Linked DNA regions of Notamacropus eugenii. The protein of the gene in region 2 interacts with the protein of the main gene of each other region in a biochemical or structural test. Links are inferred from orthologs where the notes say so. Each region holds a gene or a part of one and is shown on either strand. Other genes may lie near its edges. The genes, in order: DR1 and DRAP1.

Region 1 (15,258 bases), about 250 Mb from region 2:
CTTAGCACAGTACATGACACATAGATAGAACTTAATAAATGCTTGTTTCCTTTCTTTACCCATAGATACTTGGCAACAAGCCATTGCCAAACACAATCATTCTAACTGCTTACTCTATGAAGAAGACAAGAATCCCTCAAAATTTGTGGCATGATTATATTACTAAACACCACTCTTTCCATTTCTCCAACTACAAAGTCTCCAGTGACAGGCTAAGGTACTTTTTTTTTTCCTTTAAAATGCTTTTTTGACAACTAATATGAGTATTATCAGTTGAGACAAGGTCATGCCACAGATTTAAAACTTTCCCAGACACTCCATGTACTCCACTAACACAAATATTTTCATCATATAGCCACAAATGTCTTTAGCTTAAAGAGGTACATATTACAAATACTTAGAGAAAGTGAGAGTTATAAGATTCTGCAGTTTTAAAATAGAGATCTTTAAAACTGAAATTCATATAGAAAAGAGAATTGAAACTACTCTCCCACCACTGAGAAAAAAAGGGTTGGGGAGCTTTTTCTTTCCTGCTGTAAAGAAAAATCAACAGCCTTTTTAAGCCTTTTCTTCCGTAGCTACATTCAGAAAGCACATCTGTGGTCAAAAGAGAGAATGTAAAGGTATTTTGCAAAACAAATATACTGGTGTGAAATGTTCTGTCTGAAGCTGTGCATACTCAGGTGGCATGGTACATTAGAAAGAGCAAAGTATTTACCCAGGAGACCTGCTTTTATCAGCATTCTTTATGCTTTTGCATAAATTTCTAATGTTTCTATTAATTATAGTTCAAAGAATCTAATTCAGTTAACGTGGGGTATTCCCTTAAGTGGAGCCCAATCCCTATACACCTATGGTTACTGTTCCATACCACGGCCTAAACAATTCATCAGAATGTGGATGACCTTCCAGCTAGTCTTTCCAAAATTAGGTCACTGCCTCCCAGATGACAGACATCTAGTATATACAAAACAGTATGTCACTGGGCTTATTTTAGAAGTTTTTCCATCTTGGAAGTATCTTCCTGAGCATTATTGCTGGTAATATGCCCTTCAAAGCAAATCAAAAGGAAAAAAAAGTATTTGATAATTATTGAGTCAGAGTTTTCTTTGAAGGCAGTATGGTAGGGTAGAAAAAGCATTGGACTAAATCAAGAAATGGGCATGGACAAGTTTTTAATCTCTCTGAATCTGAACTGGTTTTGCTCTGCATCAGTTCAGACAAGCCTTTACAGGTTTCATTGAATTGATTTTCCTCTCTGATGGTTCAAAATCCATTTACATTCATATACCACAATTTGTTCAACCATATCTCAACTTTGTTCCCAGTTCTTTGCTGTCACAAAAAGTTTTGCTATATTTGTGTATACATGGGATCTTTCACAATATCTTTCACCTCTCTAGAGAATATGCTCAGTAGTGATATTGCTCAGTCAAGAAATAAGTATAGTTTAGTTCATTTTCTAAATATAATTCCAAACTATTTCCCAGAAAATGGTTGGATCAATAACTCCACCAAAGCACATTAATGTGCCTGTCTTCCCAGAGCCCCTTCCACATTTACCATTTGTCATTCTTGCCTATCAGTATGAGGTAAAACCTCAGAGTTGTTTAAATTTACATTTCCCTTATAATTGGTGATTTGGAGCATTATTTTAAATGGCTGATAGCTTCTTTTTTATTTGCCTGTTCATATTAGTTGACATATCTTACAAATCAAACAATTACCAGACACTTGCAAATTATTTTATATTCTAAACTGGTGAGGACCTTGGCTACCATCTAACTATCAACTTTTTGCTAAGGCAGTTTTTAGTTTCTGTGGGTCTCCTTGTTATGGTACTTTCTGTATGAATTTCTCTGGTTTCTGTGTCTTCTGTCTGACCCAATTTTTCATCATTTTGTTATCTATTTGATACGAAGATTTTTTCCAGTTCACAGCTTATTCTAATGACAATTGCTTACACAAAAACTTTTTAATTTTTATGTATTCAAAATTACCTATTCTCTTAAAATTATATCTATTCCTTAAAATTTTCTTCCCTAAACTTGAAACATCTGTATATTATCCTCAATTTTCTGAAAATGATGTGATCTTTTATATTTAGATCATGCACTCAATTGTAGTAGATTATGGTATGCAGAGTAGGAAGTTGGTCTGAACCTTATTTCTGCTAAATTACTTTCTAGCTTTCTCAGCAACTCTTGTCACTTACTATGTGTCTGAGACTGTGCTAATTTAAAAATATTTCATTTGGTCCTCACAATAACCCTAGGAGGTAGGTGCTATTATTATTCCCATTTTACAGCTGAGGAAACTGAGGCAGAGGTTGTGTTCTTTTTTGTTTGTGCTCTTGGGCTTATTAAACATTAGACTATTATGTTTATTTCAGTCTTGAGTACTTCTTCATTTCCCACCAATCAGTTTCTTAACCATTGCTAAAAGTTTTGACAATTACTGCTTTATAACACTGTTCACAATCTGGTAACTTTAACTTCCCCTCATTCCTACCTTTTTTCATTATTTCCTTTGAGATTCTTGACCTTTTCTTTCCTCCAAGTAATTTTATTATTTTATCTAATTCTATAAAGTAACTACTTGGTAGTCTGATTACAGACTAAAGTCTGTAATCTTTGGTTATTATATAATCACAGCTCGGACTACACGATCTTTTTCTCCCGGAAGGTTCTTCCATTGATTTGTTATCCTCATTTTTTCTTGAAGACAGATTTGACCACCCCTAAGTCACTGAATGGATGGCTCCATGAACTGACTGGTTCAAATTCGTCAGGCTGTTTAGTACGAGTGGACTGACTGGCTATTAGTTTCTACCAATTTGAGCTGCAGCTAGACACTGGGGGAAAAAGCCCTGCGTGCTCACCTCAATGGGCAAATACACTCAATGTTTGTCTTTTATAAACGTTTTATTTTTTCCTTCTGACAGTCATTGGCATCACAGACAAACAAGCCAATTTATGCATCACTTAATCCCAGTATGTTCTGGGGATGATTAACTTCAAAGTACTCTTGAGCAGTAAAAGTCACAAGGTACTTGGTATAGTGTGGAAATTGTGGTTGAAGGGTACCCCGGGCTGTTGTTCTATCTTCCTAATGCAATGCACTCCCCCTCTGCTTAATTCATTACAAGAAAAGTTAGTTCGCCCAAGCAGGCCTTGGTAGCTAGGTGGCCAAGTGGAGGGAGTGCCCCAGCTACAGTTAGGAAGACCTGAGTTCAGATGAGGCCTCAGACACTTACTAGCTGTGTGACCCTCAGCAAGTCACTTAACCCTATTTCTTCAGCTTTCTCATCTGAAAATGAGCTGGAGAATGACAAACCACTCCAGTGTTCTTCCTAAGAAAACTCTAAAAAAGGAATCATAAAGAGTAAAAAATAAGTAAATGACAACAAAGCCTTCATAAACCAGCTGACTACCTTTCTCCAACCTTAGGGATAAGGCTAGAATATTCAAACTGCTTCACCATAACAAAACTCCTGTGGTTTCAGAAGACAATACAAAAATCTGATAACTATTTCAGTTTGCAATCTGATGAACTGAAAGACCCATCAGGTTTAATGAATGGCTCTCTCCAACTTGCTTTTAAAAAAAACCTATAGCAGAGAAATTCACCCTTTTTGATATTAAAATAATACTTTATCATTGCTGAATGAGGGGACCTTTTCCTCACAAATCACTGTATGGAATAGTTTTTAAATTTTAAAAGCACTAACTTTGGAGAATTTGATGACATGCTCTTCCTGGAATAAGAAGTAGGATAAGGCATTTGTGAGAACTAAGCAAGGTTTGAAAATTGCACGTACGTTCCACAGGAATTGTCACTGTAACATTAAGATTTATCACAATATAAATATTTACCTGCCACGAAGGGTGGAATTTTATAGCATTAAAAACTATGTGCATTTAAATAAATATTACAAGTGTCTCTCACCCCTGTATTCCTTCCTGGTGGCTCCTACTCTTCTTTCTACCTAGCCCTTCCAGCATTTTTGTCTCCCCAGTGTATTATTTGCTTAAGATACGCCTATGATATATTCAAGCAAAGAGGGAGAGTGCCCTTGGAAATGCACTCCGGGCAAGCCAAATATCGAGGAGTGGCCTTGACTATACCATCAACCCCGATTCTCACACCATTTCTCCATAGGGTGTTAACTCCACCTTAGTCACCGTCAGCACCTGCTGACAAAATTTAAATTAAAAAACACAAACAACCAGATGCCACAAAATGGAGAAAAATAGCTTTATCCAGAGACCATGAAAAACAGTAACTCACATTTCTAGAGTGCTTTGCGAACAACCCCCTTGGGGTGGGTAGCCCAATTCCCATTATCCATATTTTGGAGATGGGTCTAGACTTGGGATTTTAGCAGCACGGGAGGCTTCTGGCATGGAAACTCCCTCCATCAATGCCGACTGATACTTGTACAACCCAGAGGCTTAGTGCCCTGCCAAGATCACACAGCTGGGAAGAGTGAAAGCAGCAGCGTCTCCAGCAGGCCCCCATTATCCACGGCATCCAAAAGCCTCCCATCCCCATTCTGATGGAAATCAAGGCCCAAAGGGGGCTCTTTGAATCACAGATTTGGGGCAGGAGACCTCACAAGTCCGTTCGTTAGCCCAGGCCTCTCAATAAACTGAGGTTTGGCACACACAGGTCCAAGGGGCCCTTGGGGAGGTCCAGCATTCTCTCCTCTCCGATACCCAGTCGCACAAGTATGCAGTTTTGGGGTGAAGATGGAGCCTAGGGCTAAAGGCGAACCAAAAGGGAGGGCTATTTTTTCGCCCCTCACCCTCGAACTGACACATAAAAAGGCTCTCGGCCCACGACGCCCCAGCGGCCCTTGTAGCCCTAAAGCCTGGCCCCTCTCCTAACACTTTAACTCCTCCGCTTCCTTCCAGAGCAGCCCGCCTTCCCCCGGCCCGGGCAGAGACGGGGCGGGGGCCGGGCACGAGATCCGGCTCGGCGGAGGGGCCGCGAGGAGCGCGCTGCCCTTCGGCTTCGAGATCGATTCTGCTCGGCCCCCTCCGCGCCCCCAGCCAAGGGGCTTCCTCCGAGGAGGCCAGGCTCGGCCTGCCCTCCTCGGGGTCCCCCCTAGGCCGCGGGGCCGTTTGGGACCGGTCTGGGGAAACTGCGCCGAGAAGTGGCCGTTGAGGCCCGCGAGGACGCCGGAGCCTGCCGCTCCGGACCCTTTCGAACGCCCGTGGGGGGGAAGGGCGGCAGCGGCTCTTCCTCGCCGGAAGTGAAGTAGGAGTTTAGAGGAGGCCGGCGCTTCCGGCCGCGCAAAGGCTCTTGGGAGCAGCTTCTGGCAAACCCTTTTGCCCCGGCCTCAGGAGAAGCCGTCTCTCTCTCCGCTCCGGCTTCCGCGATCTGCATCCGGGCTAAGCGGCCACGGCGGCCGCCACTGCGGCTCCTCGTCTGCCCGACTTCGCTCCGTGTTCTCTTCCCGGCGATAGCGGCGGCCGCCACGGCCGACATGCTGTGAGTCGGCGGCGTCGGTGCCGGTGCCCGAAGAATGGTTTGGTGGCGCCGGCGGCGGCAGCAGGTGGTGGCGGCGGCGGAGGCGGCGGCTGCGGCTCGGGCTCTCTAGAGCCGAGCCCCCTGCCTGGGGTGTCAGCCCGGTACGGCGGCCAGGCCAGGCCCCCGGATCGCACCAGGGTTCGGGGGACGGCGCCCGCCCCTCTGAGGAGGCGACTCTGAGCTGCCCCACTTCCCGGAGCACGCCGGGCTCCTCTCTCTCCCGTGTTCACGATCCCAAGTCACCCCTTACCCACTCACACACTCAGCACCCTCTCCCGGGCTTGTGGGCTTGTGCCCCGGCCGCGCCGCCCCCAGAGGCGGCCGGGTCCTCGTGTGAGCAAGATTGTCTGGTCTCTGCGGGCCAGTGGTCCAGAACCAGGGACTTTTTAAACCCCGGGAGAGAGAGAAGGGAGGGCGAGACGAGACGAGACGATGGCCTCTTCGTCTGGCAACGATGATGATCTCACTATCCCCAGAGCTGCTATCAATAAGATGATCAAAGAGACTCTCCCCAATGTCCGAGTGGCCAACGATGCCCGGGAACTGGTGGTGAACTGCTGCACTGAATTCATCCACCTCGTCTCCTCCGAGGCCAACGAGATTTGCAACAAATCCGAAAAGAAGACCATCTCCCCGGAACACGTCATACAAGGTAAGCGGGGGGCGCTGGGGCCGTGGAAGGGAGCCGGCCCCGGCTGCTTTCCTTTGTGCCGCTCCGGAGAGGAAGCCCATGGTGTGGGGCACCCCCGAGCGCGTCGGCACAGACATGGTTAATGATTGTGCCCCGCGACACCTCCCGCGGAGATAGTGGGTCGTGAGGAGGGGGCTCTCGGAGGGGTACGGTGAATGAGGGGATTCAGCACCTGCCCCAGGGCAGTCACCTAGATCGTAGCCCGACTGGAAAAGGAACACGAGGTTTCTGGCTTCATTTTTACAGACAGTCTTTAGTTTGGAGGGTTGGGATGGGGAGCAAGTGAACACCCTTCGAAATTTTTTGTTAGGAGAGCAAAAATGTTTAGCCTAAGATGGGTGTTTGAAAGAAAACCAAAGGTACCGTCTCTTCTACTGTGTGGAGTTCCTTATTACATGAGTACTTCAAGAAATATAAAAAAGTTTTTTATTTCTGTTGTGGAGGCAGACATAACTTTTCCGAAGAGGATGTTACTTTGGCCCTCGTTGCCTCAGTTTTGCGTACCCACAGACAGGTTATGAACTGGAAAGAGAAAGTATTGCATGTGGCCAGTAGCTTATAACAAGGGTTTTTACGTTAAATTTTTTTCTGTTCACCCCCTTGAATCACTCTCTCGGAGTTACACAGACAGCCATTCATGAACGGCACTTTGAAACAACTTCAGCAGTTAGCAGTAGAAAATGTGCAGGGTGCTGTCAAGTGTCAAGAGATGGAGATATTCTGGAGACTTAGTACATCACCATGGTCTTGGGGCTGAGTGAGTACTGACTGCCCTCCTTAAGGAAGGCAGTATGACACTTTTTTCATTTTTCTTTTATCCACTTAGTATTTGAAAAGTATTTAAATTTGAAATGATGACCTTATTTCATAATATAAATTTCAACCTTGCTAATTTGTGTCTCCATTGCTTCTTAAAAATTCAGTTAATCAAAACTTTAAGCGGGCTTCTAGTTTGCCTTTTACCTTTTGAGTTTCACAGTTGCTATTTCTATATATATGGAAATAGTCTTATCACAGTGATGTGGAAAATACTTGCACTCTAGCATTGTACAGGTGTGGTATCATGCTAATAAATGTACCTGTTACTGCACTGGTGACATTTTACAGTCGATATTGACAAAATAATTAAATGATCCATTGTAGTTCCTTTTTGGTATGTTGAAAGTAGGTTTAAAATATACCATGACTTCTCAGTAAGTGAAGGGGGGGGACATGACCAAACTCCAGTAAACCAGGTTGACTGCTTTAATAGATTCATGGTGAAAGTGTATTCTTTTAAAAGCTTTTTTGATTTCATACTTAAGCCCAAAACTTGAAAGGTAAAGATATTCTTTTGTTTATATTGCTATTTTGTATTGTGCAACTACTGAAACATTTTTTCTTATACAACATTATCCCCCACAGAATACAATTTCTTTTTACAATTCATATAAAAATGGAAAGGTTCCTTTGTCAACATTGACTGCCATGTAAAAATACAAGAGACTTTAAAGGAATCTGCTTTAACATTTTTTTCACACCTTTGAAATGATGATCTTTCCAAAATCTAATAACGATTTGCAAATGAACTTCTTAATAGAGTTTAATCAATTTTAGAGGTTTTTTTTTTTTATGTTTTTTTTTTAATGTTAACACAATAGCTTGAAAGTGCTGTTGTAGCAAACAATATTAGTTCAACATTAGAATATGTTCAGTTCTGAATACTTATGGTTATACCTGTCACTAACCAGTGAATCCAGAATTAAGAACCTTAGTAAAAGTTATTTTACTAATTTATAAACAACAATAATAGGGGAAGGAGAAAAGGAATGAACATTTATATAGTGCTGGGTACTGTGTCCAGCACATAACATTTTTACAAATAATGTGATAATATTATGATAGTAGTTGAAAGTTATACTACTTTGAGAACAGTATCTCATTTGAGTCTCATAATGGCTATTTGAGGTAGACTATTTTATGTAAAAGAAAATTGAGACTTAGAGAGAAGTTTAGTAACTTGCAAGGGATTGTGTGCAAATTTTCTTGCTTTCAGTGCTGCTTACATGACATTATGGGAACTGCTATAATTAATTGTTCCTTTTTGGTATTGATTCTATTTATTGTAAAATCACATTTTATTATAAACACCATCTCTATTTCCCTTCCCCACTCCTAGAAATTGGAAATGATATAGACTATTTGGGAGGTCCTTCACTGCAGGTATTTTTTTAAAAATTGTTAAAAGATGTGTTCTTAGTGTTTTTGCAGAGAAAGAATGTCTCTACATTTTGGAAACTTAGGGTTGGCAAGTATGGGCAAATTGCAGATGAAAATATAGATGTGGATATGGTGCCTACTTTGTTGTAAGTATTTGTTTCAGTTAACACCATTTACACAGATGAGGAAGCTGCACAAGTCTTGTGGTTTTAGGTTGCCGAAGAATTTAGACTTTTAGTGGTGGGTTCTTTAACAAACTAGATTAGACTTTTGCCTCTGGACATTTTGCTTGCCACTTTCTTAAGAGTGGGAGCACTCTTAAGTGGGAATCCACTGTAAGGGTGGATTCAGCAAATCATCATTATTCAGTCATTAGAAATAAAAAGATAAAGAAGGAAGGATTACAATTAATCTGAATAGATCTGTAAAGTAGCTAATGTGAGAAAAAGTTTATGATATCAGCTGTATGCTTTATTTTGAAAAGTTGTTTTATATCAAGTTGAGAGAAAACACATTTAGTATTTTGTGTGAAGTCACAATTCATTACAAAAGGTTCTAAGTTTCTTAGATTGTGCTTTATGTTGCTACCTTTGCCTCTGAATGTGTTTTCGGGTGTAGATTTCAGCATATTGCTTTGTTGCTTTATTGGAAGAGAGCCTCTCAGGTCTCTGGTTTTCTCATTTGTAAAATCAGGGTTGCTCTAGATGATCTCTTAAGTCCCATTCTGTCTCTAACATTCACTGAATTTGTGAATCTTCACTAGAAATTTTATGGCCTTAGGGGAAAAAACCCTAAATTTGGTTTCCTCCGTCCTGTACACAATTTAAAAGTAAAGTGGATGGAGGGGAGAGAAGATTTACAAATATTTTGTTATTCCCAATAACCCTGTGAAGTAGGTGCTATTATTATCCTCACTTTACAGTTGAGTAAACTGAAGCAAACAGAGGCTTAGTAACTTGCCCTGGGATTACACAGCTAGTAAGTGCCTGAGGCTGGATTTTAATTTAGAGCTTCCTGACTCTAGGCCCATCTCCTTATCCTTTGTGCTGCCTGCCTTAAGTGTCATATTCAACTCAGAGTCAACTCTGAAATAGTTTTTGAGGGCTTTAGATGTCATATGTTTGTTTTGTATTTTTAGAATTGTAGGACTTAGAACTTGAAAACATTTAGAATGCAGTCTAGTCAAATACCTTTATTTTACAGATGGGGAAACTGAAGGGCACAGAAGTTAAGTTTTTTTAAGAATGAAGATTCAGGATTGCAACCCTGATTGTGTACTATATCCCAATGCTCTTTTCTGTTATACTGAAGGTCTGTTACTGTTCACTGTTCACTATGGATTTGAGGTTGGATTTGAACTCAGATCTTTCTGACTCCAGATCCAGTGCTTTATTGTTCTACTTACCTGTCTTAATAGGAAAAAAAAGTTAAAATCCTTAAAAAATTAATCACAAAAGGATAATTTTTTCCAAAGGGGCTTGTGATTTGTTTGTAGTTTTCATGGCATAATCAGTGGATTTGTCATCCATGTGGGTACTCCCTCTGCTGCAGATTAAAAACTGTCCGTGCTTGCCCATTCTCTGTGACTGATCTGTGTTCTTTCATACATAGGGTGTCCATCTGATCTTCCGGGGACATTCCTTACTTTATCTGGGCAGTATGGGAATACCAGTGGAGCACACAGGCTGTCTGTCCATCAAATTATCCCTTGCTCTTAAAATGAGGGGCACTCTAGTAGGCGGGTTTAAAGTTTGAGTTATTATGATTATTATTATACTGAAAGTCGAAATTTGTGCAATAGAACATAGAGGTGCTTAGAGGTGGAGGTTAAAAGAGACCAGAAACAGTCTCCCACCTTTCTCTTCCCTGTGGCCAAGATTTCTTGGTAATTATAGTTACACCGAATTTGGCTTTGTTTTTGCTGCTTTTTTTTCTTTACATTATGGTAGTCATCGTGTGTATTGTTTTCCTGACAAGTCATTCAATTGATGATATTTACCAGCATAGGAGTTTCTTTTACTGACCAGTTTCTGGTACATTTTGAAGTGTCATTTTAAGCATGTTCAGTAACTACTTTTTTGTAGTGTTTTTTAAAAAGTTTAGCTGTCAGTTTGTTGCTCAGTCTCATTTTCAGTCGTGTCTGACTGTGATCCCATTTGGGATTTTCTTGGCAAAGATACTGGAGTGATTTGCCATTTCCTTCTCCAACTCATTTTAAAGATGAAGAAACTGAGGCAAATAGAGTTAAGTGACTTGCCCAGGGGCATATAGCTTAGTGTCTGAGGCCAGATTTGGACTGAGGAAGATGAACCTAGGCCTGGCACTTTATCCACTGTGCCAGATTTCATAATTCGTAGATATGTATGAAGATGACTCATACGTGGTTAAATATTGTATTTAGGTAGTGATTTTTCCCATCATACCACATTGTAATTATTATTATATTTTTTTACTATATTCCTATGTATCTGTTGTAATGTGATTATTTTTGTTCACAATTCTTAAAGGTTTGACTTTTTATTTATTCTTAGATTTTAAAACACCCCTGAGATTTATGTAAAACTGGAATGATTATTATTACTAGATAATAAATCACTGTAAAAAGTATTCCTTTTTTTTGCAAGACATATGTTAGGTAGTGAGTGACATTTATCTTACAAAATGTCTTAAAATATTAGCTCAGTATCTGTACCATATTTTAAAAATAAAGTGTATGCAAATTCATTCTATTAGGAATATTTGTGAATTGTGATTCATTGATAACTCTTTGTCATTTTTGAAAAGTCTTGTTATACAAAGCCTCATGTGACTATGAGTGGAACTTCATGATATAAGAAGAATCAGATGTCAGGTAACAAATGTCAGGTCAATGAAAAAACTGGGTATAGGTTGGTTTAGCATTTTACCAGTAATGACCTGCATGGAAGTAGACATCAATGAAGAAATGTATAAGCAGAAAAGGAGATAGACCAGAATCAGAAATAGCAAGTAGATAGCCTGAATGCTACTTTAGTACCGACATGATGTTAAAAAGGACTAGAGAGAGAAACGCCACTTGCAAGTTGAGTGAAACCTTCTGGTGAACCTAACAGTCAGCAAGCATTTATTTAGGAGCCGTCTGTATGCCAGGCATACAGAGAAATGAACCAGACTTGACTTTCGAGGAGCTTAGATGCTATCTACCAGGGCAGATAAACATAGGCACAAATATATACACAAATATATATGTGTGTGTATATGAATGTGTGTGTGCACAAACATATACATGCACACATACATAAGAAATAGGTGTAAAGCAGTTTTGGAGAGAGGATGGATTGGTAGCTTGGGAAAGATGAGTGGTAGATCAAGGAAAGCTTCATGTGGAAGGGAGCACTTGAATTAAATTTGAAGAAATAGGGATTCTAAGAGGCAGAAATGAGGAAGGGAGTGAATTCCAGGCATAGGCACAGCCACTGCTGAAGTGTGGAGACAGGAACAGGAGATGGGCCCAAGGAACCATTATAAATCTCCAGTACCTTCTTTTGTGCTTGTCAAAATCTTGTTCCTTCAAGGCTTGTTGCAGTTTTCTACCTCTGTGAAGCCTTTCATGATTTGCCTTTCTAGAAGTGAGCTCTTCCTCTTCAGATTTTTCTGTGATAACTTCACCTAAATCTTTCCTTTGCACTCACAATGTTCTACCTACTATCCTACTTATCTGTATACCTTATAGGTCATATTCCCACATAGTAGATACTAAATTCTTTGAAGGCATATACCAATAATTTTAATTTTAATGTACAGTAAAGTACATAAAGGAGTATGAGAGGACATGGGCAAGAGTTAAGAGTTGCACAAGTTGAACTTCCAAAATGATGAGCTTATAGATCCATTTGTATACCATAGTACATTATGCCATTCTCTAGTCATTAAGCACATAATTTGTTTCCATCATTTTGCTATAACACAGTGCTGCTTTGGGTCTTTTGTTACACATTGAACCTTTCTGTTATTGATGTGCTTGAGGTTAAAACCTAGTAGTTGCATTGCTCAACCCAATAAAGCATTAGATGTAGTGGATTCAGGAAGATCTCGATTAAAGTCCCACCTCTGACACATAACTGGGTATGTGATCCGGAACAAGTCCCTTAACCTTTCAGAGTTTCTAAGGAACGCTTGGTAAGACTTTAAATTGAAGATCAGTTGTTGATGTACTTTGGTGCAGATGATTTCCTCATTGGGTATTCTCGATTCACTAATGAAATAGAAAGAGTACAAAAAGTTCATTCTGTTGCATAATTCCAAAGCGTTTTTTCAAATGGTTAGGCAAAGTCACAAACCCACCAACAATGAATTAGCGTGTGTCTTTTCACAAGACTTTTCTAGCATTTAGTTTTATCATCTTTGCCAATTTGATGAGTACGATGTTGCAGTTTCAGAGTTTTTAAAATATGCATCTCCATTTTTTCAGCAAGCATTTATTGAACACCTAGCTGCCAGGGATACAAAGACAAAAGACTAAAACAATCCCTACCCTCAAAGACCTTATATTACACTGTAAACATGATAGCCAGACATGGAATAGAGAAGATTGTAAAAAAAAAATGCTATTTTTAATAAAAAAACTTGTATATCACCAAAATAAAACTTTAATTGAAAAGAAAAACTTTGAGTTGGGATACAAATCTTGTACCAAACCTGACAAAAATCCAACATACAGGATCTATGGAGTTGACTCAGATCTATCCCTCTAAGAACCGTTCCCCAATAGAAAAATGGTCAAAGAAAATGGATAGTTTTCAGAATGTGAAATCTAAACTATGAACTATGAAAAGAATACCTTTTGACAAACATTTTTCTATTGGGCTCTTATTATTTAGCATATATTTGTGTCAATTCTTTATGAATCCTGGCTATCAGACTTTTCTTAGAATAGTTGATGCAAAGATTTTTTTTCCCTACTTCTATGACAAATATTAAGAATTTAGAAAAATTTGGGAAGATTTATGAAATGATATAGAAGAGCAAAAAATAAAAGATTTATTAAGTGCTTACTCAGTGCCAAATATTGCTGAAAAATGGGGATACAAAGACAGAAGATGAACACTAAGCAGTGGGAATGCAAAAACAAAAAATAAAGATGACCCCTAGGGATCACACGCAAAGGGTAATGGGTGATTTTAGTCCAGAAAGTTAGAGATTTTGAGTCAAATGGGAGAGTAAATTGACACACCCCATCAAAGAGAATTGATTTGATTTGATCACGGTTCATGGTTCCAGAAAAGGTGGGAGGAGGGGAAAGGAAGGATATCTCTGTGTGGGCAAGGAGATAATTGGAAAGGCTGGAGTGAAATGAAGCATGACTTAGGACTTTTCCTGAAATAGTGGTCTGAGTGATACTGTTACCTATTAGGCCAGGAATACACACACACACACACAGACACACACACACACACACACACACACTATATATTCTATAGCTTAAATGAAGACAATAATAAAAAGTCCAAATACAGTGGTTTCAGATGACTTAAGCTAAAACATACATCCTTCCTTTCTTTTTAACAAATCATAAAATATGCAGATAGAAATTTTCATGTACTGTCAGTCTTAAGAGTTGGGAGGGACCTCAGAGACTACATAGTTCAATTTAGTACAGAAACAAGAATCCCATTTATAACACACTTGACAAGTGGTCAAATCTAGCTTTTCTAGAAATTCTACAGTGAAGGAAAGCCCACTACCTCCAAATTCAATCCATTCCATGTTTGGATCACTATAATTATTTTTAGAATTTTTGTGTATATCATATTTACATGTACCTCTCTTGAACCCCATTCTTTGCTCCTACTTCTGTACTCTGAAGTCAAGCAGAATAAGTCTAATCTCCATTTCATGTGATAGTCTTTCTTCTGCTTGAAAACAAATTACCATGTCCACTATCCTAGCCAAGTTATCTCTAAGTTAAACATCCATAATTCCTTCAACTAATCCCCATCTGAGGATTACCCTGTGACCTTATATGCCTTTCACCATCTTGATTGCCCTGTTCTGAAAATCTTCCAGTTTAATTTATCTTTCTTGAAATGTGGCTCCTAGAACTGCGTATAATCACTGCATTAAATGGTTTAGCTTACTTCTTTTTTTATGGGAAGGTACTAGGGTAAGTGTTTGTTGGTAAGAATGTTCATATGTCAAAATAGCATATCAACACAAAAAAATATGGTGAGTCTGGGAAAGATTGGGTAGAGTAATCAAAGAAGGTCTGAATTGCCAATGTAAGGAATTTGAATGGTTTATTTATTATTTTTAATGTTTTTCACAAAATGCTGAGAGTGACAAAAGGGAAGTTTCCAGTATTAACAGGCATCTGTTAATACTTTTTTGGTTCAGATGAAGGCCAATACTTCTGTGTTTCTTTTGTTGTTTTCTATCTCACATTAGTAGAGATATCAAGTAGAATTTTTTTAGTTTAATCACACAATTGCACATTGTGACAGGTTACATTATCAATAGAAATTAGCAACAAAAGCATGTCATATGTCAAGATTATTCATACACACCATCACCTACATGATAATATGAATCTGTAAGTCTATATTTGGCAACTGTCCTAAAGGTCACACTCAAAAGCTTTTTCAGACATTAGGTAGAATGTCTAAAGGAACATAGCAGAATGCTAAGGAATATGCTCAAATTCCTGTTTCCTGAAACCAGGTTTTTGGAAATCTTTCCAGGGTATCCCCATTAAACTCCTTCATTGATGTCTTTCTGTAGTACAGTGGTTACTCCACATTCTTGAAAACTATGCCAGCAGAGCACAAGCTGTGGCAAGTTCTACTAAACTAAAAAGA
Region 2 (15,258 bases):
CCACTCTACTCCAGTTGGCTAAAGAAAACAACTCTGTGATCCCCAAACCCGCCCCAAGGTGTTCCTGGAGTTTGGCCCTCATTGTTCCCTCTCTCTGCACCCTCCCCCTTCACCTGCAGAATTCTTCCCCATTCTCTAAACACCAGCTCAAATGACTCTTCCTCCAGGAAGCCTTTCCTGATGGGATGAGGATAGAAGAATTGGACAGCACTGTCTTCACGGGATCCACTTGTGCTCTGATGTTGGAAATTGAGGTTCTCTGGGTCTTGTACCCTTCCTAGACTCAGTTCCATAAGAACAGACCCAAGTTGGGTCTAGAGAAGGAGAGTAAAGTGGGGAGGCAGGACGAATAAGGGGGAATCACCAGAGAAGGAAAAAGGGAGTAAGAGAATTAGGCATTTATAGTGTCTACTATGTGCCAAGCTCTCTACAAATATGACTTTATTTGATCCTCCACAACCTTGTGAGGTGGGTGCTGTTATTATCTTTATTTTACAGATGAAGAAACTGAGGCCAAGTGAAATTCAGTGACCTGTCTAAGGTCATATACTAGTAAGTAGCAGAGGCCAAATCTGGGCCTTCCTTACTCCAGGCCCAGCTCTAGTCACTGAGACACTAGCTGCCTTTTACTGAAAGCACACAGCCCTCTGAACTCAGGAGAGAGCTTGAAGAAATGGCTGAGGGGGGCGAGACTTTTATCTGGGCTTCTGGGGCCCACAAGTGATCTCATTTCCTTCATCCCCCAAACCCGTGAGGGAGACAGTCTAGATAACCTTATCTTGGTGATGAGGAAACTGAGCTGTAGAAAGACTGGCCTTCCTCAGAACCCCACACCCAGGTCTCACCTGCCCACCTTGACCTGGAAGTCAGAAGACTGGGGTTCAGTTCCCGCTCTGCCCCTAACTGGCTGGGTGACTGGCTATGTTTCTTCTCTCAGCCTCTATCTGCTCCCTTCTAGGATTCAGATACTTGATCAAATTTGGCATAAGACTCTAGAAAGCAGAGTGGAGTGTTAGTGTCTCTACTGTTTAGTGGGATTAGAGGGCTCAGGTGCTCCTTGGCGCCAGGGGAAACTGAGGCACCTGCGTGTTGTCAGCAGGAACCAAAGAGATCCAGCAGCTGGAGGAGAGACGCCGGCTTGCCTTGGCTCAGGGAGCAGAGGGAGGAGCCTGGGGGGCTGGGAGAAAGCGTACTGGGGGAAAGGTGACTCCTCCAAGCTCCCGACTGTCCTGAAAGATGAGCCTTGGACTGCAAAGCCAGAAGGGAGCAGGAGGCCCCGAAGCAACTGAACGCGATGACTATCCCTGTGACCCCCACGGTGGCTCATGGGGAGAAAGCCACGAGTAACTAACTGTCCATGACTCACCTCCCTTCCACCTCCCTTCTCCCGCCAAGGCAACTCAACTCTGTGGCATCTCCGCTCCCTAGCCGTGGCATTCCGATCGCGTGAGGCTCCCGGTCCTGACTCAGCCTTCGCACGCAGCGCTGCGCCCCAGGAATTGGCAGTCAGAGACCACCCCCAAACCCCAGAGTAAAGGGGGAGGCCGGGAATAAGGGGCAGCCGTGGAGACCCGAGCTGGCTCACGAGATTCTACCCAAGTCAAAGGGACAGAAATGAGCGGAAACCCCAGTCCTCCCGATTCCCCCTCATCCTCCCTGCCTCCTTCACTCCTATTTCTCTGGAGCCAATGGCCCTCGGTGAATGAGCTGGGCATCCAAATAGAATGCTTCACAATCCAGCCAAGGATGAGTGGCGAAATAGAGTGAAACCAACACCTTATATTTTACAGCACAGGAAATTCCAAGTGGAAAAACGGTCTAGATGCGAAGTCACTCCATAAAAAAATTAGGACAATGGAAAGTTGAATTTTTCCCAGTTGTGAGTAGGAGAAAAATTCATAACAAGTGAAGGCATAGAAGACAAAATGGAAAATCTCAAATATATAAAGTGTAAATGTTTTTGCACAAATAAAATCAACGCAGCTAGAATCAGAGAAAAACATATGGATTTGGGAAAATCTTTCTACTAAATATTTGACAAAAATTCAATAAATATAGCTTGTAAGGAACTGATATAAAGATGTTTAAGAACCTCGACAGAGAAGTTTACCAAGAAATACAAATGACCAATAACCACTTGAAAAAAATTTCAAAAACACAAATAATCAATTAAGTTCAAATTATAATCCTGAGACAGCAATTAGACAAAAGATGTCTTTTGAATGAATTCCACCTTATGGTAGCAAAGATACTAAAAAATGGACAATTTCATTGCAGGAGCAGTTGGGGAAAGGTAGGCAAACTAATTTATTGCTAGTGAAACTGTCCAACTGCCCGGGGAGGTAGGGGGACGTAGAACTAAATTGTTTGTCCCCTTTGACCCTGAAATCCCACAACTGGGATGATACTTTCAGGAGGTTAATGACAGAAAAAAAAAATAACTCCTGATATGCCATAGCGTTGATGTAGCATTATTTGTGATAAACAAAGATATGCGCCCAACAGCTAGGGGCTAGTCTGTGAGTGTAAAGGAATATTCCTGTATTTTAAGGAATGCTGAATCTGAAAAATCCAGAGGATCACATGGAAAAAGGAAGTAATGTCAATGAAAGAAAATAGGGTCAAAATTGTGCCAATAGTGTCACTATGGAAAAGCAAAGAACTCACGGCCAGGATAGCTGTCAGAGTTTTCACCCTGCCACCAGTTAGGGGACACATCTCCCTGACTTTTCTGTGCTCAATCCAATGGGTTTTTGGGGAAGTGCACCAGCTTAAAAGGGTACAGTGAGGTACTCTGGGAAATATCTGTTCTGTACAAATGAAAGGGTATCAATAAAATTTAAAAATAAAAAAAAAATCACTCTTTGGCTTAGGGATCCCTCCAAAAGGGTCAGAAAAAAATGTATTATTCCAATCCTTCAAGGGCATGAGATTCCATTGGTGATGACTGGAAGGGGACTGTTATTTTCATTTTAAAGTTGCAGAAACTAAGGCAAACAGGGGTTGTGACTTGCCCAGAGTCACACAGTTAGCAAATGTCTGAGACTGAATTTAAACTCAGGTCTTCCTTCCTCCAGGTCCAGGGCTCTATCCATTACACTACCAAGCATCTCGAATGGCTCTTTGGGTGGCCTGTAATTTTGATGTTTTGGGAGATGACAGTTTTCCATGATATTCAGCCATACAGCTGAGTAGAAGCACTTTAAAGGCATTTAAAGAAAGGTGGGTGTTTTTGGTTGGTTTTAGTGAGAACCTTGGGGATCATTAAAAAGTACTGCACAATTTCCCAAATGAAAGTCAGCACCTTTACGGCATCCAACGTCTACCTAAGCACGTCAACCCAGACCACAGACAGGTTTCATCCACTTGGCTTTCCTGCCTAGATAGTTACTGTGTGTGCGCTCTTGAGGATGCCCAGCCAAATGCAGTTCAGTGCAGTCAGCAGACTCTGCCAAGGGGAGCATCTAGATTCTAGGAGATGCCATTCTCTCGAGGGAAGGGATCCTGGGGGGATGTGGCAAAGGCCTCTGTTGGGGAGCATCCATTTCTCATCATTCATCAGAGGCTCACTGAACCAAACAGGAGGACTCTACTATTTTCATCTTTCAAGGATCCCCATATGATTCTCACATGCAATGTTACAAATAAGCCAGGAGGTAACTTGAAATCTCCCCCAGCTCAGAACCCTCCCTTGGCTGTAACTGCCTCCCTCCTCCCCCTGCTTTGAGGCCTAACTCAGGGGCCTGGTCTTCAATGACTCCCAACAGGTGGGAACAAAATGGTTTATGAGAACACTGTCTGTGGAAATAGTGTAGAACAAAAGCTCCTTGAGGGCAGCAGGCTGTTCATTTTTCTTTTTATGCCCAGCATGGGGCATAGAGCCTCGTGCCCATTTCTGGGAACATAATAAATGCTTGTTGATTTAAATTAAGTTTTGCCCTGAGAGGCAGGAGAGAGGTTTGGATTGGAAGCTAGAAGACATAGGTTTGAGTCATGTGACCTCTGTGCCTCAGTTTCCTTATCTGTAAAATGGGGATACTCACTACGCTCCCTACAAGGCTGTTCTGGGGATCAAATGAGAATATACTGAAAGCTCTCTGTAAACTACTACGTGCCTAGAGGTACCACAAGGCAGCGAGCAAAGTTGTTGCAGGACTCAGTCAGTCAACAAGCATTTATTCAGGACTCACTAGGCACCAGGCACTGTGCTAAGTGCAGACAAAGGAAAGCTGTGGAGACAAAGAAAAGCAAAAAACAGCATCCCTCCCTCCAGGGGCTCACATTCAAATGGAAGAGACATCGTATTAATGACTGGGACACAAGATATATACAGTGTAAAGGAAAGGAAGGCAGTGAAGGTGCTGGGGAAGGCAGGAGGCAGAGGTTGAAGAAAGAGCACTGCAGGCACGGGGCACAACCAGGCTTTGCAAAGGCCTGGAGTTGGGAGGTGGTACCGCCTGTGCAAGAACAGACCAATACCTGGATTATGAGATTTGAGGGAAGGAATAAAGTGTCAGAAGACTGGCACTTGTGAGGGGCTTTCATGCCAGAGCATCATCAAGCTGATCCTGGAAGTGGTGGCTGAAAACCAGAAGCACACAGTCAGGCTTGTGGCTTCCTTGGTCCCAGCAAGCCTCCTAACCCCATTCCTCATCACATCAGAGCTGACCAGCTGCCACCTGGATCTGACAACCAGAGGAGCAGGAGGGAGGGGTGGGCTGAAAACAAAGGTGGGCTTTATTGAAGCCAGGGAAGGAATAGTAGAGGAACGGGTTGTAGGAACTGCAGGCAGAGCAGGGAGCAGCAGGCACCTACCCCACGGGCCCCCCCTGCTGGTGGCCCCGTCCACACTCAGGACTACCAATCCCAAGATGCAACACTCCACCAACTCCTAGGTGCTTTGCCATCCAGGGATGGGGTGGAGTAGCTCTAAGCAGGTGGAGGGAGCCCAGTCAAGGCTCTGGGCAAGTAACTGAAACTCTGAGGAACAGGGTCCCGTTGGCCCTCCATCGACTGGACCAACACAGGGAATAATGTCACGTCTCTGCCTCCCCTCCTTTCCTGAGGCCTGACATTGGTCCCCAAAGCCAGGAAGGCAGACCGCCCTGCCATGGGGACTGATTTAAGAGCCAGAGAGCTGCCCCAGAGGGCCGGAATGATTGTCTGTGCCTTCCCCACCCTAGATGTCTTGGCTCCCAGCACCCGAGTGCCCACCCCCCCTAAGTCAGTGCTGTGTTGTTGAGCCTGTCCAGGACTCGGGAGTAGTGGGGGTCACTCTCCAGGTGGTAGCTGCTCTCATAGAGGGTAGGGCAGAGGTGCCAGCGGTTAGCACGGTAGATTCCTAGGTAGGTGTAGACATCTGGCTTATAGGTCAGTGGGCACTTGACCCCAGCTGCCCGGATGGCGGCATCAGCCTTCAGCACTCCTTCCTGGTCTGTGAAGTCCTCTGTGTAGACACAGATGACCTGACGCTCCTCTTCCTGGGCCCGGGGGCTCACTTTGGCCACTTGTAGCTTCCCCTCCACCACAGCCCTGGCAATGCCAGCCCATGCATGGTCCAGCTTGAAGCCGGGGCTCAGGTGCATCAGCCACTTGCCGGTCAGGACCTGGTGAGTGAGGGCCAACTCCCGCAGAATAGCAGGTGTGATGGGCCGCCCGCTGGCCTGTAGGGCTTCCCAAGCCCCCTGCAGTCCCTGGACATCCCCAGCTCCAGGGGAGAAATCAGGCCCATACACTGCAATCCAGCCCACAGGCTTGGGATTGGGAGCGCTGGGGCCCCCATAGCGAGAGACACGAGAAGGAGGGTAGGCAGCCAGCCAGGAGTCCAGCTCACAAGGCGGGGTGCTGCGGGCATCGAAGACCAGCCAGGGGTCCATGTCGGCTGCCATGGCCTCAGCAGCCAGATGCTCGGCCGTGAAGCCATCCTCCTGGCCCCCAGGGGGGATCTCTTCCTCCGGCAGCTCCATCCTGCGGGGAGGAGGAAAGGTGAGGCCCCGGAACCCCCACCTGCGAGCTGGGTGCCTGCAGCAGGGTCAAGAACCCCTCCCCCTGTAAAGGATGTCCCTTGCAGTGCCATCCTACCATCCCGCTCTTTGTGGCCCTTTAGGGACAGAGGGCGGGGTGTCCCAGTGGGTGGAGCGCCGGCTCGAGGCTGGGAAGCCCCGAGTTCAAATGCGGACACTCACGTGGCTGCTCCCTGTCCCGGTATCCCCGTCAGTAAATCGGGATGATGCTAGCCCCTGCCCCTCCCCAGGGGGTGGGGAGACCCGAATGAATGAACGCAGGGAAAGCGCACGGCAACCCCCGCTCGGCCCTGGCTGCTAGAGGACGATCCCAATCACTAAGCCCCCGCCCCCAGCTCTTAAAGGAGAGAAGCCCTCGGATGGATCCCAGCCAAGTCGCCAGCTCGCCTTCGGGGAGCCACAGTCGGCCCCGCCCCTCCGGCTCCTCCGAGCCCCGCCTCCCCTCCCCCGCCAGAGGAGGCGCTCGCCGCCGCTCGCCTCTTCCCCGCCCCTCCCCCCGGCCTTGGCCCCTCCCGGCTCCCGTACACGCCCCGCCACGGCCGCTGCCCTGGCCCGAGTCTCCGGTCTCGCGACCCCGCTGCCTGCCCTCAAGAGCCAGTCACCTCCGCCTCTCGCTCCTCTCCGTGCCAACCCGGCCTGGCCCCCGCTCTCTCCGGGGCTCTTCTCCGCCGCGGGCCCTCCGCTCCGCCCACCCTACGGCCGCCGCCATCTTGGGCCGCCTGCCGCCTCAACAACAACTTTATCGGCAACCGCCGGCCGCGGTCGTGGACAGCCAGGACAGAGGGGGCGGGGGGACGGGGGAGCGAAACTCCTCCGGACGTGGCAGAGGACGCGACCAATGGGAAGCAGGGCCCCTCCGCGGAGGCGTGAACTCGCGGAGGGCGGGGCCGTTGAAGGCGTTCCTCCCGCAGCAGGGAGGCGGGGCGAACGTCGTCCTCCGCGGGTCTGTAGGAGGAGAGGTGCCGGAGCGAAGCGGCCGCGAGGAGCGAGGCGGGGCGGAGCGTCCGCGGTGGCGGGGGCGCTAGGACCCGGAGGAGCGAGCGGCGGCTCGGCGCTAGGACCCGGAGGCGCCGGAGAGGCCCGGCGCTAGGACCCGGGTGGGGCCGCAGCCGGAGCCGGAGGAGCCGCGGCGGCGGAGCCCGAGGAGCCCGAGGAGCCGGGGCCGGAGCCGGGCCGGGGCCGGAGGGCCGAGGCCGAGGTGCGGCGAGAGCAGCGGCGGCAGCAGGAGGCCACGAGATGCCGAGCAAAAAGAAGAAATACAACGCGCGCTTCCCACCGGTGAGGACCCGGCCCCCGCGGCCGCCCCCAGCCCCGGCCCCGTCTGGGCCCTCCTGGCCCGGCCCGTAGCCGCCCCCTCCCTCGGGTCCCACCCCGCCCCGCCCAGGGATCCCGGGGGCCCCTCCCCCAGCTCCTCCCCACCCTGGGACCCCCGCCCCGGCCCCTGCCCCTCCCCCGGCTCTCGCTCCACACCTGGGCCCCCAGCGGTCCCCGCTCCCGTCCCCGCTGCACCACCGGGCCGCCCTCTCCCCCGGCCCAGCGCCCGGACATCCTTCGATGATGGAGGTTCCGGAGGGGGGTGCCCTGGTACCCCTCCTCGAAGCTGATCTCTGCCTCCCCCACCCCAAGGCCAGAATCAAGAAGATCATGCAGACGGACGAGGAGATCGGCAAGGTGGCGGCGGCTGTGCCAGTCATCATCTGTATCCTGGGCCGCCGGGGAGGATCGGGGACAGTGGGGCTGGGGCTAGGAGGTCGAGGGCAGAGGGGCTGGGGGCTCAGGAGGCCGGGGACGGTGGGGCTGGGGCTAGGAGGTCGAGGGCAGAGGGGCTGGGGGCTCAGGAGGCTGGGGACAGTGGGGCTGGGGCTAGGAGGTCGAGGGCAGAGGGGCTGGGGGCTCAGGAGGCCGGGGACGGTGGGGCTGGGGCTAGGAGGTCGAGGGCAGAGGGGCTGGGGGCTCAGGAGGCTGGGGACAGTGGGGCTGGGGCTAGGAGGTCGAGGGCAGAGGGGCTGGGGGCTCAGGAGGCTGGGGACAGTGGGGCTGGGGCTAGGAGGTCGAGGGCAGAGGGGCTGGGGGCTCAGGAGGTTGAGGGCAGAGGGGTTGGGGGCTCAGGAGGTCAGGTACGGTGGGGCTGGGGGCTAGGAGGTCGAGGACAGAGGGGCTGGGGGCTCAGGAGGCCGGGGACGGTGGGGCTGGGGCTAGGAGGTCGAGGGCAGAGGGGCTGGGGGCTCAGGAGGCTGGGGACAGTGGGGCTGGGGCTAGGAGGTCGAGGGCAGAGGGGCTGGGGGCTCAGGAGGTTGAGGGCAGAGGGGTTGGGGGCTCAGGAGGTCAGGTATGGTGGGGCTGGGGGCTAGGAGGTCGAGGACAGAGGGGCTGGGGGCTCAGGAGGCCGGGGACGGTGGGGCTGGGGCTAGGAGGTCGAGGGCAGAGGGGCTGGGGGCTCAGGAGGCTGGGGACAGTGGGGCTGGGGCTAGGAGGTCGAGGGCAGAGGGGCTGGGGGCTCAGGAGGTTGAGGGCAGAGGGGCTGGGGGCTCAGGAGGTTGAGGGCAGAGGGGTTGGGGGCTCAGGAGGTTGAGAACAGAGGGGTTGGGGGCTCAGGAGGCCGGGGACGGTGGGGCTGGGGGCTAGGAGATCGAGGACAGAGGGGCTGGGGGCTCAGGAGGTTGAGAACAGAGGGGTTGGGGGCTCAAGAGGCCGGGGACGGTGGGGCTAGGGACTCAGGAGGTTGAGGGCAGAGGGGCTGGGGGCTCAGGAGGCTGGGGACAGTGGGGCTGGGGGCTCAGGAGGCTGGGGACAGTGGGGCTGGGGCTAGGAGGTCGAGGGCAGAGGGGTTGGGGGCTCAGAAGGCCGGGGACGGTGGGGCTGGGGCTAGGAGGTCGAGGGCAGAGGGGCTGGGGGCTCAGGAGGTTGAGGGCAGAGGGGCTGGGGGCTCAGGTGGCCGGGGACAGTGGGGCTGGGGGCTCAGGAAGCCAGGGTTGAGGGGCTCAGGGCTCCGTCAGGCTTCCCTGATTTTTCTTGACCAGCTCCTCAGCCAGGGCATTAGAACTGTTTTTGGAATCCCTTCTCAAGAAAGCCTGTCAAGTGACCCAGTCTCGGAATGCCAAGACCATGACCACTTGTCACCTGTGAGTCCTGCCAGGGAGGCCCCACTCTGCTCCCCAACTCTGGCTTCCCCCTTGGTCCCATAGGACACATTTCCATTCTCCTTCTTGCCCCACCCTCACCCTTTCCCTCTGCCTCCCTCACCTTTGAAAAGATCATCTGATTCAGAATCAAAAGACCCACATTGGAATCTCTGTTCTGCCCCTGACCTCAGCCAAACCTGTTCTGGGCCTCAGTTTTCTCTGCTGTAAAATTAGGGGGTTAAATTAGAAAGCTCCTAAGGCCCCTTCCAGTTCTTCATCCCAAGAGCTTCTGTTGCCCTTCAGTTCCCCCCACCCCCAAGTCCCCCTTCCTTTGGAGCCTGAAGGAGGAGCTCAGCCCCTGTTATCTCCCATCCTAGGAAACAATGTATTGAATTGGAGCAGAAGTTTGATTTCTTGAAGGACCTGGTTGCCGCCGTGCCCGACATGCAGGGAGATGGAGAAGACAATCACCTGGATGGGGAGAAAGGAACCCGAAGGTAAGGGGCTACAGTAGGACATTCCCCCATTCTCCTCTGACCCACCCTAGCAAGGTGTTGTGTTTCAGAGAAAATATTTCCAAAATCTAACCAGCACCATATACAAAGTGGAACAGTCACAAAATATTTATTCAGCTTGCTATCGTGTGCCAGGCACTGTGAAGCCCCAGATCTCTCTGTCTGTCTCTGTTCATCTCAGGGCATCCCCCCACCCCACCTCCTCCCAAAGAAATGTCCCATAAAACAGATAACATTTTTAAAGAGACAAAATCAGCAGACGCGATCAAATCTTACAAGTCTGGGAACCTACAGCACTCCAGACCTGTGCACCTCTGCCTCGGTGAAGGGAGGAAAGGGGGAGGGAGGCTTCCTTTCTTTATGGTTTCACTGAAGTCCGGCCAGTTTCCCTTGCCCAGTTGCTGCACTGTTGAAGCCCACCCACACCTGATTCTCCTCCTTTCTTAAGTTCATATAAATCTTCCCAGAGTCCCTTTTTTCACAGCACATGGTATCCCATTATACTCACGTCATACTTTGTTCCGCCCTTTCCCAGATGAGGGGCTCCACTTTGGGTTCAGAACTAAGCAAGCTGCTGTGGATGCTTTTGTATACAGTGTGTTCTTTTCAGTGGTGTAGATGAGTCCAAAGGGTATGGATGGTTTCATACCTCTCTGACCAAAGGTCTGAGCTGTCCTGGGTCCCTTGGGAATAAGAAGGTTTCAAAGCCACTGTGAAGAAGCACCTTAGGGCTTTCCTGGCCTGATTCATTCGAGCCTCACAGCCGAGCTGAATGGAAACGTCTTGAAGTCAGACCCTGGTGTTTTGTGTCCCCTGTAACCTTGCGCATTCATAAATGTCCGTGGGACTACTCATGGTACTTGCTGTCCCCTTGGTGTTTCCACCTTTTAAAGTAACCTTTAAGGGCCTTTCTGGTTCTAATTCTAGGGGCCGGAAGCCTGGGAGCAGCCGGAAAAACGGTGGTGCTGGAGGAAAGGGGAAAGATAAGAAGCAGTCTGGGACAGACTCGGAGCAGGAGGTGAGCTAGCCCCATCAGACTGTCAGCTGAGGACAGGACCTGTCTCCCTTAGGTCTGTCCAGTGACTGAGCCCCAGGCTTCTGAGAGGAGGCCATCAATGCCTTCTCCTCTCCCTGCCTGATATACCTGGGCAGTCAACATGGCCCCTTCTCCCTGAGCTCAGGGGGTCTGACAGCCTTTTCTGTGATTCGTCCCACAGGATGATTCTGAAGACACAGAGACAGATGGGGAGGAGGAGATGCCACAGCCCCCACCCCAATCCAGCCGGCCCACAGCCCAGTTCCAGAGGTGAGGTTGGCGACCTGGAGGCAGGAGTGGGGAGCATTGTAGGTGGGGGGGAATGTGGCTCAGGCTGGGGGTTGAGGGGATCTGGCTCAACCCAGTACCTGTCTGTAATGTCCATACCACCAACCTCCCAGCACCCATGGTTCTCTAGGGTTCTGGTCTCGAGGATGCCTGTGCAGTTAATCTGACAGCCTCTCTCCTTTCTTGTCTCTCTGCTCCACAGCCCTCCGGCTCCTTTTCTCCCCTTTTCCTCCACCCTGCCTCTCCCTCCAGCACCCCCTGCCCCTACAGCTGTTGAAGAAGAAGAAGATTATGACTCATAGGCCCTCCCCCCTGGCCCTCCCCCCCCTCCTCCCACCCTCCACCCTCGTTTAGTCAATTTTAGTGGCTGAGGGTGAGGTAGGGGGTAGGGGAGGGCCTTCTTAAATTTATTAAAAATTTTTAAAAAGAAAGAGGCTCCTGAGTATTTGGCCCCCTCCTCTGTCCTGCCTCCCCCCAGATGTTTGGGAAGTCCCTTCTCCCATAGACATCACTTTCCTGATCTGTAAAAGGGGGCCATTGAGTCCAGTGTGCCTGGAGAGTGGGCAAGCTGCCCTCTGCCTTGGAACCTTGGCTCAAACGCTTCTTCAGCCCATTCACCCACCTCCTCATTTGTAAGCCAAGGTGGCTACCCCCTAGGGCTGCCCAGGGCCAGGATCCTCGTGCTGCCTCGCCTTCCCTGGCTGCCCTGCCTTGGAGTCTGTCAGGGTCACTGGAGTCCAGACAGCCCACCCTCCTCTCTACTTCTCTGCCCCTACCCCTGGCCCGGTGATTGAGGGTCACTGAGGGGTCCCAGCAAAACTTCTCTTTGGATGCCAGTGACTTAAGAGTGGTGGTCAGCATATAGGGGTACAAAGGCTTCTCTGGACACACACACCCCTGCCCCCAGAGAGGTCAAAACCAGAGGTATGTGATGGCGCACAGTGAGAGGACAAAGGTGAGAGCATTGCCCATTGTCCAGGCCAGCCCCTTCCTCATGTTACAGATAGAGAAACAGTTCCAGGTCACATATCACCTGAATTTGAACCTGGGTCCTCTGGCCTCAGCTCTTTTACTCTTTCCCATGCAGAGCTAAAGCCCGATTGAAGATGGCGAGGGGAAATGGGAGGGCAGTTTTGAACATAATTGTTAGGGTTGATGGGTAGATCTAGACCCTGACAGAAGACCCTGTCTTCCCCTGCTCTTTCCCTTGTTCCCCCTCCCCAACCTGTCTGCCCAGGGACCCAGCTTGGGGTGAAGGGAGGAAAACAGGAGCTTCATCTTTAAGTGACTGCTCTGGGCCAAGCCCTGAGGACACACACAGTAAGGGAAGAGGGATTTTAATAACTTTTAGTGCCCACCCTGGGGAGGGGTGGGCTTTATGGTATGCAGATGGGGAGCGGGAGGGGCCACCCTACAACACCCACCCCACTGCCCTTTGTTTCTATAGGCCTTTCTATTTCAAGATACTTAAACAAGACCTGAAAATACCCCTATCCCCACAGGTCGGTAAAGCCCAGGAGTGGAGCTGGCTGGGTTCTGGGCCTTCACCTGCACTGACTCTGTTAGTGCCCTAGAGAACATCTAGGCCACCCCCTCTTATTACAGATGAGGAAACTGAGGCCAGAGATGTGAAATGTCAAGGCAAATGTCCCATGTAGCCACACTGGTCGTAGCTGCTCTCTGCAGACAGCCTTCAGAGGTTTGCAAAGCATTGTAAATGTCCTAATATTTCTCCCTCTACCACCATAAGGCAGCAACTGTTCTCATCCCAGTGACTGGTCAAGAGAAGGGTAGGTCATGGAGATGGGCAGCATCTTAGTCAGATTAGGTCCCAACAACTCCATTTCCCACTTTCCGTCCATTTGTCTTGACCCCTAAGTAGAAGGTGGCTGTAACCCAAAGCTCTCTGGGGCTCCCCTTCTTCCAGCCTCCTCCCAGAGGGCAGTCCCTTAAAGGTCCTCCCAAAGTGAGTTATGGACATGGTCCTGTCTGCTGAAATTCACATGTTAATAGTAACCAGGGGAGTGAGGCAGGAATCACTGGGCACGTCATCCTAGATATAGTTTAATCACCCCCCCCACACACACACACACTTTCTGCATAGAGCCCCTTTGCGCTCAGTGTGGCAGAATCTCCAAGTTAGGCTTTCCAAATGATCTAAATACCACATGCTATTGAGATGCTTCAGCATCTTGGCCGCCCACCCCCTGCCCCACTTATACCCCTCTACCACCACCCCATCTCCCGGACTCTGTGCACTTCAGCATGGTCATAAGATTTGATGCCTAGAATGTAACCCAAAGAGTATCCTAAGGCTCTGCGACAAGGAGTCTTAGAGGCCACTTATTTGATGCCATCATGTGATCAGACTCCAGGTGGGTTCATGCCTCTTAACAAGACCTAAGACTGCTTTGCCATTCTTGGCTATTCTCACGTTATTGGGTCATTTGGAGCTTAATGTCCACTAAGAACCCCAGATCATTTTCATAGGTTCCCAAGAGCTTTCTGGGCTCACAATGTCCTGAGGTTCTTCTGCCTAGACAAGGTGAGACTTGAGCTAGGTCTCAGTACCAGCAGTACTGGGCTTGATGAGAAGAAAAGGGAGGAGAAAGTGAGGCAGAGTGGAGGGAAGTGGAAGCAAGCAGAGCCTACAGAGATCAGGCATGTTTACAGGCTGGGCCTTCTGGCTTCTAGAAGTTTCATCCCATCGACTCCAGGAGTCAAGAGAGGCTCCAGCTTTGTAGGAGCTGAAGGTGTGCGGGGAACAGTCTCCCTGGGCATCCCAAGAGTTGACTCTGGCTCATTGCCCAAAGGAAGCAGAAGCAGTAGGTGATCCCAGCACCCTGGGACACTAGGCATTTGGAATCCCTCTCTCCCCATGGAAAGAGGAAAAACATGGAGGAGGTGGGGTAGATGGTCCAGCACTCAGGGTCCTGAGCAAACTCAGATGATCACAGGAAGCCAGGACTTGAAGAGGCCACCAGTCTGCCCTCCTTTTACAGAGCTGGTGACTCTGAGACTCAGGAGAAAGGACTCACCTGGGGTCCTACCTCCAGCTCCACCCTAGGCCAACCCACTCCAAGGCCATCAGGCGAGGCAATGCTGTGGGCAGATACAGATTTGTTTTTTAAAAAATAAGTTTTTATTGATGTCAATTTTTGGAATCAGCATAATTTCTCCAGGGGACACAGTGGATAGAGCACTGGGTTTAGAGTCAGGAAGACTCATCTCAATGAGTTCAGATCTGGCCTCAGACACTCACTAGCAGTGTGGTCCTGGGCAAGTCACTTCACCCTGTTTGCCTCAGTTTTCCTCCTCGGTAAGATGAGCTGGAGAAGGAAATGGCAAACCACTTCAGTGTCTTTGCCAAGAAAACCCTAAATGGGGTCACTGAGAACTGGACACACCTGATACGCCTGAACAATTTCTTCCAGTATCCCTTCTCCTGGCCCCACCCAGAGAACCATTCCATGTAACACTATTTTATAAAGACAAAAAAAAGGGGGGGAGGGAATCAGCCTAACTGAGTAATACGTGCAATAAGGTTGACACATGTCGCAGCATCGCCTCTGCAGAGGGGGAGGGGAGGGGAGGGGGCTTCCTGGGCCTCGGCTTGACAACATTCACTTGATTTTGGTGTGCAGTTCTCTCCATTTCTGTTGTAATTGCTGCGTATGCTGTTTTCTTAGCTCTGCCAGCTCGCCTCTGCGTCAGTTCATATAGATGTCCATCTTCCCATGTTTCTCATTTAACATTCCATTCCATGGATGCACCGCACTGTGTTTAGTCATTCCCCATCAGTGGGTACCCACTTTGTTTACAATTCTTTGCTATCACAAAAAGTGCTGCTAGGAATATTTTGGTATATTTGGGGACTTTCTTCTTATCAATGGCCTCCTTGAGGGGGGTCTCATCAATTGACTCTGAGTAAATCAGCCAAACTGATTTAGCTACTGGGAAACTCCAGTAGGAAAGGCACTCACATAACCTTAAGGGGGAATCTGGGAAGGCTTCAAGGAGGAGGTGACCTTTGAACTGCCTGCACAGGGCAGGGTAGGGAGGACATTCCAGGCATGGGGTGCTGATCCTCAGTCTCCTCTGGAAAAGCACCTTGGAAACTGGGTAACGAAGATAGTCATATCCCAATTTTATAGATGAAGAAGCAGGCGCAGAGTTCATTATATGATAGGATCATAGGTAGAGGGAAGGGACCGTAAAACCTCGTACTGCATATGTGGAAACTGAGGCAGAGCGAGTCATACAGATCCAACTTC

The links.
Region 1: the proteins of DRAP1 (region 2) and DR1 form a complex in vitro, tested with the Homo sapiens proteins (2 studies listed by BioGRID). The link is inferred for Notamacropus eugenii from reciprocal best matches to the Homo sapiens genes DRAP1 and DR1.

The regions. Positions count from the first base shown.
Region 1 is NC_092873.1:268,271,521-268,286,778, forward strand, and holds the start of DR1 (protein Dr1), read left to right. Parts: upstream 1-5,967; coding exon 5,968-6,187; intron 6,188-15,258. UniProt on the Homo sapiens protein: The association of the DR1/DRAP1 heterodimer with TBP results in a functional repression of both activated and basal transcription of class II genes.
Region 2 is NC_092873.1:18,624,472-18,639,729, forward strand, and holds DRAP1 (dr1-associated corepressor), read left to right. Parts: upstream 1-7,032; 5' UTR 7,033-7,259; coding exon 7,260-7,301; intron 7,302-7,649; coding exon 7,650-7,722; intron 7,723-9,051; coding exon 9,052-9,145; intron 9,146-9,522; coding exon 9,523-9,642; intron 9,643-10,587; coding exon 10,588-10,678; intron 10,679-10,877; coding exon 10,878-10,966; intron 10,967-11,186; coding exon 11,187-11,286; 3' UTR 11,287-11,415; downstream 11,416-15,258. Other genes in the region: C2H11orf68 (UPF0696 protein C11orf68 homolog), read right to left, coding at 5,220-5,967, 6,626-6,732. UniProt on the Homo sapiens protein: The association of the DR1/DRAP1 heterodimer with TBP results in a functional repression of both activated and basal transcription of class II genes.